2 linked regions of the Callithrix jacchus genome follow. The protein of the gene in region 2 interacts with the protein of the main gene of each other region in a biochemical or structural test. Links are inferred from orthologs where the notes say so. Each region holds a gene or a part of one and is shown on either strand. Other genes may lie near its edges.

Region 1 (6,599 bases), on a different chromosome or scaffold from region 2:
CCCAAAACCTAAGCCATGAAACTCCTCTCTCCTTGGCTTTTGTGCACATCCAGATGCTGCTTCTGACAGGCTGAGGAAAAGATCAAGTCCTGCGAAACCCATATTGGTGCTGAAGGCCAAGAATACTAACAAATACTAATTGTCCGCCAACAGATCATTTCAGTTTTGTTTTGTTTAAGTGATGTTACTGAGTGAGACATTTTCCACATATAGGACAGCATGGCATTTCTGTCATATGCAACATGTCCTAAGATGCTTTATGTAAATATCGAAAGGCAAATATTCTAATGTTTTCCTTATGTATCCTTTAAAAATAAAATATACTGCAAGACTACAACTAAAATCAGAGAATTCTAGTCATGCCATGTAATGTGGGGTGTACAACAGGACTGCATCACTTACATCGGGATCTGGGACCATCGGTTCTTGTAAGTCCTTCCACAATTTCCTAGGAATAACCTTTATGGGGATGTCATGTGTCGCAATGCGGGTACTGCTTGACATAGAAAACTGCCAAGAAAAGAATTAATCTTTTATGTTAATATTAACAACAAAACAAACCCAAAGACCCGAGGATAAAAAAGTTGAAACGACAAACCTAAGTGGAATGTTGTCAATTTATTCACTCAAAAGCCATTCGACCAGTATTTATGACACGTACTCAGGGTACTTTCAGGAACCGGGAAGTGTGGTGAATGAGACAAAAAGGTCCCCAGTGTTCCAGTGGAACAAACAGATCAATAAAAAGGCAAACGATTGAAATTATATCAAACGCTCATTAGAGCCATGAGACAGCACAGCACGGTGACCAGGGTGAGTGTGGGGGGCTTCCTTAGACTGGGGAGGCGACATTCCAGATACCACCAAAGCCGGGAGGAGTAGCATCCACGGGAAGACAGGAACAAGGGGACAGTGTTTCAGGCTGGGGAAATAGCATATGGAAAGCCGTGAGGCAGAAAGAAGCAAGCCTGCTATGTTGAGGCAACTGAGAAGGCCATTCTTTGGGCATAGGACACTCAGTGTGTTGCAGTTTCTAAACAGTTAAAATGCAAACTGTATTTTTCTATTTCTAGGGGCGACTATGAGAGTCACAGACCAAAAGATTTTGCACTTTTAGATAGAAAAGTATTACATGTTACTATCTTGCTTTTCCTTAAGCAATAGAAAAACATACCAAACTTATATCGTGACATGAAATACCCTAATTAGCTCTAAGAACTGCCTGATTGCAAAAAGTTGAGACTTATGAAGAAAAGCTGAGGAATCCTTTTCCACGGAAAGCTTGAAACTAAATATAATACTCACCCATAGATGGATAAAGTATATATAATGGCAAAAACCACAATTACCATTGCACCAACTGAATACAATATATAAGGAGAGCTGTAAGAGAACAGAAGACTGGGGCAAGGGCAGCATTGGCGACGAGCACTAAATGAAGAGAAGGTTTCAGAGTGAGAAGGAAATAAACTGCAAGTGGAAGCCCAATATCACCAAAGCCTGGGAGTTCAGAAAGAATGAGACACATCTAGGGAAAGCACTCAGGGGATCACAGTTTATAATTTGGTCCCTAAGATGGATTGGGCCATATGTGAAGGGCTTTGGTCATGTTAAGAAACATGAACTTCAGGCCAGGCGCGTGGCTTATGCCTGTAATCCTAGCACTTTGGGAGACCAAGGTGGGTGGATCACCTCAGGTCAGGAGTTTGAGATGAGCCTGGCCAACATGGCAAAACGCTGTCTCTACTAAAAACACAAAAAATTAGCCAGGCATGGTGGCGGGCACCTATGATACCAACCACACAGGAAGCTGAGGCAGGAGAATTGCTTGAACCTGGGGGATGGAGATTGCAGTGAGCTGAGATCGCACCACTTCACACCAGCCTGGGCGAAAGAGCAAAACTCCATCTCAAAAACAAAACAAAACAAATCAAAACAGAAATACGAACTTCATCCTGTGAGTAGGAAGAGCAACTCTGTGTTGTATGTGTACACATGAGTTTGTGTATTTGTGTGTTTGGGGGACAGCTGTGCACTCAATTCATCTGGCAGGAGCATACAAAACACAGGTGTACTGAAGAATGAGGGCCCATTAAAGGCAGGGTGGGAGTGAAGAGAAAACATGCCAAAGACGAAAATCGATTGAAATCATGATTTCTAGACAAGGTGACAACACCACTACAAGAAATAAAGAGGCTGGAAGTTTTATGACTTGTAAAAGGCAGCATTCTAGCTGAATGCATATGATCACAACACTATAAAATGAGGAGGAACTGACTCTAATGCAAAATATAGTTATGGACCAGATCTTTAAATTTAAATAAGCCAAATAGTTTTCAACAATATTTATTGTTATAAAGGCTAGGCTAACTACATCTATTCCTTCGAGGCCAAGATTTCCGTGGGAAATTTCAGAAACCCTGACTCTCCTACTCACCAGCTCCACGGAGACTGTGAGGCAGGGAAAGTGTTTATTAGTCAGTTTGATTTTCAAGGCTCTGGCATTCTGGGCAGTTTTCAAGGCTCGTGATAAGTTTTCCGATGTTAGCTCTAAATAAATCTCGTTGTTTTCTGCAGAGAAACCCTCCATTTGAAATTCGCTGAAGAAGTTCTCCTAAAGGAAAAAAAAAAATGGGGGATGAGGGAGGGCATTTGTGGTCTTTCCAATGACAATCTGTAGCGTGTGCAGGCCTCTCAGAAGCTTTTGCTCACCTGTTCCAGCTCACACCACATGCTCACCCCTCCATTAGCCAGCTTGTCACAAAGGATGAAGTTAAGCTTGTCAGGGCTGATGCGGAGGGTACAGGTTTTGGCAAGCTTGGCTATCATGTTACTGATTCCTAAAGCAGGAGTTAAAATAAGGAATTACTAAAATGCACATCATGTATCCTAGACACCAACTTATTTTGCACAATTTCTTGTTCATCATGGTGCAACTTCCCGGTGAAAAACATAACGACTTACGTTTGTATCACACTGGAAAGTACTTTAATACCTCTGATGTCATGCAATTCTCCCAACAAACCCAGGGAGACGTACAGCACACATCTTCAGTGTCCTACCAGTCATTCATTCATTCAACATAAACTTACTGACTACTGGATACTGCAACAGAGTTGAATGCAAAGTTAGGCACTGTCAGGGGGGAGGGACGAATGGAGCCTTCAAGGAATGTCAAAGCCTGATAAAGCCGTCTAGGGGAGCAGTGGCCGCTTTTTTAAAAAGCCACGTGATCAGAATCAAGTTTCAGAAACGTCTCTTGAAAGCTGCCTTCATCCCTACAAGTCCCTACGGCCCACCCCGCGCCCTCCCGCGGCTTCCATAAGCACCCCCATCCCGGACCCCATCCTCCAGCGGCCCCTTCCTGCGCCCATCCCCGCTCTGATCCTCCCCCGCGGTCCCCACCGCGCGCTCACTGCCTTTTTCCGTTCCTCCCTCGCTCCCCTCGGGCCTCCTTGCTCACGTGTGAAGTGGTTCAGACAGGCCCCGTCCACTATCTTGCCCCGAAACTTCATTGCTGCGCGGCAGGGTCTATGGGTAGCGGATAAGTGTCTCACCCTGAGCGTCCCCGCCCGGAAACAGGGCGGCGCGCACAGTGGTTCCGCCCGACTAGGGCTACGCGGCTCTTAGCAGAGTAGCCTCCGGGCCACGCCCCGGGGAAGGTGGGGCCACGGGTCACGCCCCACTGGAGGTGGGGTCACAGGTCAAGGATCTCGGGTCACGCCCTGGGGGAGGTGGGGTCCCAGTTACTGGGTTTGCCTCCTTGCTCCGGGGTGATGGTGGGATCTGCTTTTTGTGAGGCAGAGGCTTCAAGCTCCTGATGTGGGGACGGGTTCTGAGAATTCACGTTTTGAAAGAATTTTGTGACACCTATTTCAAGTTCTATTCTAAAATATCCAAATAAAATTAATCGTCTATAAAGGTTAAACAATACTATCTCTTAAATATGTCTCTCTAAGGTAGAGCAGCTTTAAACTCTCCAATCTCAGATGACGGTACCGGTACTTCGGTATTGAAGCATCTTGGTTAAGGTTCTGAAAATCGTTTTAAATGACTTTTTAAAAAAATGGAACATATTACTGGCTAGTTGGTAAAGGCAAGATGCTTAAAGAACACTGACGTTAAGTGATAATTCTGCAGTTTGTCTCAAGACGAACTTTACTACCTCCAATAAAATTCTTATTAGCATAAGTAACGTCAGTAGGATTTTTTTTAAGGAAATAAATTTTAAAGGGGGTAATGCAGCAAGCAACACTGTATCTAATTTGCTTTTTCAAAGCCTGAAGATCATTTATGTTAATAATTGTTATTTTTAATGCCCTTTGCAAATAGGAGCCTAGAACCTTGTCTTTAACTTGACATATAAAATCAAGATAATTATAAAGGAGATTATTATTATTATTATTATTATTATTGAGATAGAGTCTCACTCAGTCCCCCAGTCTGGAGTGCAACGGCTTGATCTTGGCTTACTGCAACCTCTGCCTCTGGGTTCAAGTGATTCTCCTGCTTCGGCCTCCCAAGTAGCTGGGATTACAAGCATGTGCCACCACGCCGGGCTAATTTTTGTATTATTAGTAGAGATGGGGTTTCACCAGGTTGGCCAGGCTGGTCTCCAACTCCTGACCTCAGGTGGTCCAACCGCCTCAGCCTCCCAAAGTGCTGGGATTACAAGGCGAGAGCCAATGTGCCAGGCCTAGATTATTTTTAAAGTGCAAAATACAAAATTTGCAGTTTTTGCCTATCTTAAGACCATAACATGAAGCTAAATTCTACTCTTCATTGTCACATGCGAGTGTTTGTCAAACCAAACTTCATATATCAATTTCAAAGTTATGCCAATAGGCCAGGCACAGTGGCTCACTCCTACAATCTCATTCTGGGAGGCAGAGTTGGGTGGATCACCTGAGTTAAGGAGTTTGAGACAAGATGCCTAAACAGCCTGGCCAACATGGTGAAACCCCATCTCTACTAAAAAATACAAAAATTAGCCAGACATGGTAGCAGACACTTGTAATCCCAGCTACTCAGGAGTCTGAGGCAGGAGAATTGCTTGAACCTGGGAGGCAGAGATTTCAGTGAGCTGAGATCAGCCACTGTGCTCCAGCCTAGGCAACAAACCGAGACCCAGTCTCAACAAGTAAATAAATAATAAAGTTGTGCCAACATTTTTTATTTGCGCCGTATGATCTGCAGGAAAAAAGCATGTTTTTAAAATTTCTTCATAAATGTATTTTGAAGAATTGAGCATCACATTAAGTAAGGTGGCTGCCGATAGATAAATGAATATAATTAAAGAATATATTTAAATAAACTTTGTAAATAGTATTTTGTAACAGCTTGATCTTTCCTGGAAATTGCTTTATTTTGTCAAACTTCCTAAGAAGATGTGATTCTATACATTCTGCATTGACAAACACCCAAATAATATAGGAATTTGATTCAAGAAATAGAAAATAAAGTTGCAGTTATCTTTTCTTGGAAGAAGAAAGAAATATTTTATGTGTTCTTGTAAGATTCTTAAATAGGTTTAGCAAATTAATTCAGTAACTCCAGAATTGACAATTAAATATATTGACACTACTTCTCTACTTTCCAAATGATTTTGGGAGAAGGAATGTGATCTCTAGAGATTTCTAGAAGCCCCATGTACCACTGAGTTTTCTAACGCAATGTGTATTCATGTTCTTGTCGAGCTATAGAAAATAGCCTTCTGATTTAAGAACGGCCAAACCTCAGGGGTTAGTTACTTAGCCACACAATGATCTGGGAAACGGTGTTGACGCTGTTCATTAAGTTTGTTTACTGGGGAGGTAAATGCCTTAATCTTGTCTTAGAAACTGAATTACACAGTGATGCAAATAAAATGTCAGTCAGGATGTATAGTTGGAAGTAAGGAAAATAACCTCTCTACAGCTGCAGATGGTCAACTCTATCTAGGTAAGCACTTGGCCAGTGTCTTTCAGGTACTTCCTCATCTTCTCTAGTCCCTAGGGGAAGAGGCAACAATTTGCAGCCCTGTTGTTAGCAGTGAAGGTCGGAAAAATCACCCAAGGGAAAGAACGTGATATAGCTCAGATGTTCCGCACCAAATTTGAAAGGTAGTATTTGTCTTCTTTTTTTAACATGAGAAAACTGTAAAATGAAGGAAAGTATACCCTGGAGTGGCAAGAGTGAATGTTTTTTAAGAATTGTACTTGTTTTAAAAGATGGGTTTTTGCTTAAGCAGCTCTTCAAAGACTCTGCTCATCTTTCAGGTGTCAAAAAAAAATACTTGAATAAATTCCATAGATACTTTTAAAATGAACATTTGTGGAGTACAAGAGAAGTGTCAGGCATGGTGGTGAGTGACGGGGATTAAAGCAGGGGACCACCCCACTCAAGAGGAGGGGGATCAACATTTGTTGGATGCCTTTTATGTTTCATTTTAAAAGCACTATTTAAACATTATTGATCAGTAGGCTGAGATAGCTAGCTGTCATTTTATAGCACTGTACACTGATATCATCACTTACATAGCATAAACAACCATAAAATAAGCACTACTATTCTCATTTTATTTTATTTGAGATGGAGTCTTGCTCTTGTTGCCGAGGCTG
Region 2 (6,474 bases):
ACCCACCTTAGCCTCCCAAAGTGCTCAGATTACAGGTGTGAGCCACTGTACCCAGCCTTTATTTTTTTTTGAGATGGAGTCTCGCTCAGTTGCCAAGGCTGGAGTGCAGGGATTACATCTCGGCTCACTGCAACCTCCGTCTCCCAGGTTCAAGCGATTCTCCTGCCTCAGCCTGAGTAGCTGGGATTACAGGTGCCCACCACCACGTCCAGCTAATTTTTGTATTTTTAGTAGAGACAGTGTTTCACCACGTTGGCCAGGCTGGTCTAGAACTCCTGACCTCAGGCGATCTACCCACCTCAGCCTCGCAAAGAGCTGAGACTACAGGTGTGAGCCACCACACCCAGCCTGATTTTTAAAATTTTTTTGAGATGTTGTTTTGCTCTTGTTGCCCAGGCTGAAGAGCAATGGTGCGATCTTGGCTCACTGCAACCTCCACCTTCCTGGGTTCAAGTGATTCTCCTGCCTCAACCTCCACCTTCCTGGGTTCAAGTGATTCTCCTGCCTCAACCTCCCAAGTAGCTGGGATTACAGGTGTGCACCACCATACCTGGCTAATTTTGTATTTTTAGTAGAGATGGGGTTTCACCATGTTGGTCAGGCTGGTCTCAAACTCCTGACCTCAAACTTCTGCCCATCTCAGCCTCCCAAAGTGCTGGCATTACAGGTGTGAGCCACCGTGTCTGGCCCTTTGCTGATTTTAATAGATATATGGAATATTCTACTATTAAGTAAACTTGTATAATTCTATTTCATGGAACTATGGGAGACAGAGGAATTGGCTGTTTCTCTCTCTCTTTTTTTTTTTTTTGAGACAGAGTTTTGCTGTGTTGCCAGGCACCAGGCTGGAGTACAGTGGTGCGATCTTGCTCACTGCAACCTCCACCTCATGGGTTCAAGCAATTCTTCTGCCTCAGCCTCCCGAGCAGCTGGGACCACAGGCGTGCGCCACCATGCCCAGCTAATTTTTGTATATTTTTAGTAGAGATGGGGGTTTCACCATGTTGTCCAGGATGGGCTCCATCTCCTGACCTTGTGATCTGCCTGCCTCGGCTTCCCAAAGTGCTGGGATTACAGGCCTGAACCACCGCGCCAGGCCTTGGCTGTCTCATTTTTAGGACACTTGTCTCCCTGAAAAGCAACTGCACTTTCTTGACATTTGCCATCTGCATAGAGTTCACAGGCCCTCCACACTTCTACCTTCAAATCTGTTTCACCTTCACCTCATATCTTTCCAGGCCTCCCTCTCTCCCTGCATCAATCAGTAGATACTGTTATTTTTCCACAGGATATCTAAGTCTTAAGTTTCTCTTCTAATTCCTGACCAACCTCTTAGTATTATTGCCGACACTTTCTTGCCCGGGAAACTTCCAGAGTGGCTCCTCTGACCCATCCCCATCCCAAGCGGGGAAATCTTGCTACATTCTCAAGAACCAGGAGAAGGGTGGTGGCCAAAGGGTAAGATGGAGGCAGTGTTGCCTAGTGGTGAGACAGCCTGGGAGCAGGGGAGTGTGTACGTATGTTGGTCTTTGACTCAATATAGTACAAGCTCAGTCTTCATCGCAGCCACAGTCGGCCTAAGGAAGAAAGTAGGTCACCCCAGCCCTCCCGAGGCTGTGGGCAGGGTGCAGAGGTCAGACTTCAGGGAAGTCCATGGGGCGCTTTAAGTAGTGAGAATGCCAAGGCCAGGAGGTTGGATGCAGAAAAAATTTGCACCCTGGCTCAGACCTTCTCCCCGTATGGCCCAAACCTCCACTGGTGGCCCGTGCCCTGCTGCTAGACGCCCTGACCTCCGCACCCGGAGGCCTTGCTCCCCGCCTGTGCCTAGGCCAGGCCTGGGACTCCATTCCTGCATCCCGCTCACCTCCAGACTGCAGTCGCCGCCGCCGTTGGGCCGTGGCTCCGAAGGCGGGCTCCGGGCTCCTCCAACCTGGGGGCCGAGCCCGGACCCCGGACGGGGACTCGCGCCGGACCGGCCGGGTCCCCGGCGGTGCGGGCGGGGTGGGAACCCCGGGGGATCCCGGGAAGGGAGGGGGTCCCTGGCCGGGGCCGGGGGTGGGGTCTGGCACCGGAGCTTTCAGTTTGTTCCGCTGTTTGAAACTGGCGCCGGCGGAGCGTTAAGGTCACGTGACGGAACGTCGCCAATCGGCGCCGGCTTGTCTCGGCATTCGGGGCTCGAACGCGGCGCGGTGTGACAGGAGCGGCGGCCCTGGCCGGCCCGGGCTGGTAAGGCGGCCCGCTGGCCTGTTCGTGGGGTAAGAGGTGGCCGTGAGGTCAGGGAGGGGCCGGAGGGGTCTCCGCGGCGTGGGTGGGCGAGCAGAGGGACAGTTTGGGGACGCGCGGAAGCGGCGTGACAGGCCCGGCTCCCTGGGCCCGCTTCCCTGCCGCCCTAGCCAAGTCAGGCGACACGCCCCTGTCTCCCCTCGAACTGCTCTGCTCCCCTTTTCAAAGGTCGGCTTTACTTGATTTCCTTCCCAGGGGAAATCGTACCCAGTTTTCCTACAGCGAACGATTATTTGCTCCCCGCGATTAGCCCGAGGGTTCTTTGAGGGCTGCGTGTGATCTCAGCTTTCTTCCATCTTGGAAAAAATGTCGGCACCTTGAGCCCTACGTGCGCGCGAAATCTTAAGGTACTGACCTGTCTTTGCCCCTCCCAAAGCTAAGCCTTCGGATACAATAGACTGTAGTGCTTTATTTATTTACTTAGCCTGTCTAGTTGAACAACTACTATGTGCCAGGCACCGCTAGGCCCTGAGGGTACAATGGCAGACAAGGTTCTTAACTTCCCTTGGACTCACAGCCCAATCCTGGGAGAGGGGCTCAGACGTTTTTAAGTAATCAAATAAACAAATGTGGGCTGGGTACGGTGGCTCACGCCTGTAACCCTAGCACTTTAGGAGGCCGAGGCAGGTGGATGGATTGAGGTCACGAGTTCAAGACCAGCCTGGCCAACATGGTGAAACCGCTTCTCTACTAAAAATTAGCCGGGTGTGGTGGTGCGTGCCTGTAGTCCCAGCTACTCTGGAGGCTGAGGTGGGAGGATGACCTGAGCCGGAGAGGTGGAGGCTATGGTAAACTGTTACACCACTGCACTTCAACCTGGACGGAGGGAGTGACAGAGGGAGACACCATCTCCAAAACAAACAAACACACAATAGTGGAATTACTGCTGTCAAGTGAAACAGTAGAGCTTAATGATACTTTGAGTATTTACAATAAGGAGATCTTGAGAGGTAGGACAGGAAAGGCTTTTCCCGTGAGAGCTTGGTGTGTGAGATCTGGTACCTTTTACAAAAAAAGGAGGGAACCTCCATAAGCAGAGGGAATCAGGTGTGCAAAGGCGGCATGGCAGGAGTAAGCACGGTGAGGAATATCTGAGGGGTTTGAGCTAATCAGCCTGAGTGGAGTGTGGTGTGAGTTGAAGCTGGAGGCAGAGGAAGCAGGCCTTCGCCATACTGAGAAGTTTTATGCTTATCCAAGAATAAAGGAAATCAATCATAAGCTTGAAGCAGAAGTGAACTGAGGTCAGATTTGCATTTTAAAAGGTCCCTCTACAGCAGGGGTTGCTAGAGTGGATTAGGGCAGACCAGTTGGATATTGCAATACTCCAGGCAGGAACTGCTTGAGCTTGAAAAAGGTTGTCAGGGAGAGAGGAAGAAAAGGAAGGAAACAGAGAGTGAAAAAGGGGCATTATGAAAGGTGTTTAAAAGGTAAAGTTGACAGGGCTTGATGGTGGGTTGGATGGGAGGTGGGAAGATAGAAGTGTCAAGATATTTGGCTGCATAATTGAAAGAATAATGACACCATTCCCTGATCAAGAGCCCTGGAAGATAATCACTTTGGCCAAGGGGTGGCGGTGAGGTTGTCAGGGAATGACTGTGAATTCAGTTTTTGTTTTTTACTACAAAGCAATGCTCAGAATGAGTTCAGTTGTTTTTTTGGTTTTGTTTGAGACGGAGTCTCGCTCTGTTGCCAGACTGGAGTGCAGTGGTGAGATCTAGGCTCACAGCCACCTCTGCCTCCTGGGTTCAAGAGATTCTCTTGTCTCAGCCTCCCAAGTAGCTGGGATTACAGGCACGTGCCACCACACCTAGCTAATTTTTGTATTTTCAGTAGAGATGGGTTTCACCATGTTGGCCAGGATGGTCTCGATCTCCTGACCTCGTGATCCGCCTGGCTCGGACTCCCAAAGTGCTGGGATTACACGCCTGAGCCACTGCGCCCGGCGGAGTTCAGTTTTTAAAAAAAATTTTATATATTTATTTTTATTTATCTTTTTATTTTTTAGAGACAGGGTCTTGCTCTGTCCCCCAGGCTGAAGTCCAGTGGCATGACCTTGGCTTACTACAGCCTCAGCCTCCTGGGCTTAGGTGATCCTCCCACCTCAGTCTCCTGAATGGCTGGGATTACAGGCACATGCCACTATGCCCAGCTAATTTTTGTATTTTTTGTAGAGACAAGGTCTCACTCTTGCCCAGATTGATCTTGAACTCTTGGGCTCAAGGGATCCTCCCACCTTCACCTCCTAAAATGCTAGCATTACAGGTGTAATGCCAGCCAATGCAACCGGCCAAGTTCAATTTTAAACTTGTTGAATTTTTTTTTCTTTTCTTTTTTTGAAGCCAGTTTCTGGCTCTGTCGTCCAGGCTGGAGTGCAGTGGTGCGATCTCGGCTCACTGCAACCTTCGCCTCCTGGGCTCAAGTGATCTGCCAACCCCAGCCTCCTGAGTAGCTAGGATTACAGATGCCCACCACCAAGCGCACCTAATTTATTGTATTTTTTGTAGAGTTCTGGTTTCGCTATGTTGCCCAGTCTGGTCTCAAACTCATGAGCTCAAGCAATCGCCTGCCCTGGCCTCTGAAAGTGCTGGGATTACAGGCGTGAGCCACTGCGCTCAGCCTTAAACATGTTGAATTTGAGGTGCATTTGAAATATCTAGTTGATGTTCAGGTAGGTAGTGGGACTGAACTTAAGGAATTCTAAAATGAGTATATAAATATTGAAGTCATCTACTTATAGGTGGTTACGGAAATACAGGTAGATGAGTTTGCCTAAGAAAAGTATATAGAGTGAGAATAGCTCCGAAGCACAACCAGAGGGGAAGGACTTAGATACCAGAATGAACTGACCTCTAGTTAGAGCAGAAAGAAGATAGATGCTGATATGCATAGGTTTGTGTGTTTGCTTTCTGTAAAATCCGAGTATTTCCTTTGATGTCTTCTGCATTCGTTGTCAAGTCTGAAGTAAAATCATTTGTTAACAGAAAAGGGGTGTTCTGACATTCTAAGAAAGTGGGCAGGGTATGGTGATTCACACCTGTAATTCTAGCACTTTGGGAGGCTGAGGCAGGAGAATCACTTGAGCCCAGGAGTTCAAGACCAGCCTGGACAACACAGCAAGACCCCATCACTAAAAAAAATAAAATAAAATAAGAAACCAGCCAGGTGTGGTGGTGCTTGTCTATAGTCCCAGCTCTGCAGGAGCCTAAGGCAAGAGGATCTCTTGAACCCAGGAGTTTGAGACTGCAGTGAGTTATGATCATGTCACTGGACTCCAGTCTGGGCAACAGAGCAGGAACTCACCTCTAACAGTAATTTAAAAAATTAAAATAAAAATTTTCAGCCTGGACGTGGTGGCTCAGGCCTGTAATCCCAGCATTTTCAGAGGCTAAGGTTGGCAGATCACCTGAGGTCAGGAGTTCAAGACCAGCCTGGCCAACATGGCGAAACCCCATCTCTACTAAAAAATATAACAATTAGCTGGGCATGGTGATGGGTACTTGTAATCCCAGCTACTCAGGAGACTGAGGCAGGAGAATTACTTGAACCTGGGAAGCAGAGGTTACAGTGAGCCTAGATTGCACAACTGCACTCCAGCCTGGGCAACAGAGTGAGACTTCATTTCAAAACTAACAAACAAAAATTTCCACTTTTTTTTTCGAGATAGGGTCTGTCTGTCACCTAGGCTAGAGTGTAGTGGCATGATCATAGCTCACTGCATCTTCAGACTCCTAGGCTCAAGTGATCCTCCCACCTCAGCCTCCCAAATAGCTGGGACGACAGGTGTGTCCCACCATGTCCAACTAATTATTCTTTTAAATTTTTAGTCAAGACGAGGTGTCACTATGTTGCCCAGGCTGGTCTTGAACTCTTGGCCTCAAGCAGTCCTCCCACCTCAGCCTCCTAAAGTTCTGGGATTATAGGCATGAGCTACTGTACATAACTTGGAGAAATTTTAACATAATCTTTGTGGAGAATGAGTTGATCAAGGAAACAGGATTGCTGAGCAATGTACCCATTTGAAGCTGATGACTTTCAGCAAGTCATGAATTTCAACGCCATAGCCATTGCTACCACTGTCATCTTTCCGCTGGATTTCTATGGTAGCTTTTTGTTTGTTTTCCAGACGAAATCTCACTCTGTTGCCCAGGCTGGAGTGCAGTGGTGCTTGGCTCTCTGCAACCTCCACCTCCC

Evidence for each region.
Region 1: the proteins of RHNO1 (region 2) and HUS1 form a complex in vitro, tested with the Homo sapiens proteins (2 studies listed by BioGRID). The link is inferred for Callithrix jacchus from reciprocal best matches to the Homo sapiens genes RHNO1 and HUS1.

What each region holds. Positions count from the first base shown.
Region 1 is NC_133512.1:15,520,209-15,526,807, forward strand, and holds the start of HUS1 (checkpoint protein HUS1), read right to left. Parts: upstream 3,556-6,599; 5' UTR 3,516-3,555; coding exon 3,464-3,515; exon of another isoform or gene 3,417-3,463; intron 3,106-3,416; exon of another isoform or gene 2,965-3,105; intron 2,841-2,964; coding exon 2,713-2,840; intron 2,615-2,712; coding exon 2,438-2,614; intron 511-2,437; coding exon 403-510; intron 1-402. UniProt on the Homo sapiens protein: Component of the 9-1-1 cell-cycle checkpoint response complex that plays a major role in DNA repair. The 9-1-1 complex is recruited to DNA lesion upon damage by the RAD17-replication factor C (RFC) clamp loader complex.
Region 2 is NC_133510.1:16,196,577-16,203,050, forward strand, and holds the start of RHNO1 (RAD9, HUS1, RAD1-interacting nuclear orphan protein 1), read left to right. Parts: upstream 1-2,163; 5' UTR 2,164-2,255; intron 2,256-2,478; 5' UTR 2,479-2,630; intron 2,631-6,474. UniProt on the Homo sapiens protein: Involved in microhomology-mediated end-joining (MMEJ) DNA repair by promoting recruitment of polymerase theta (POLQ) to DNA damage sites during mitosis.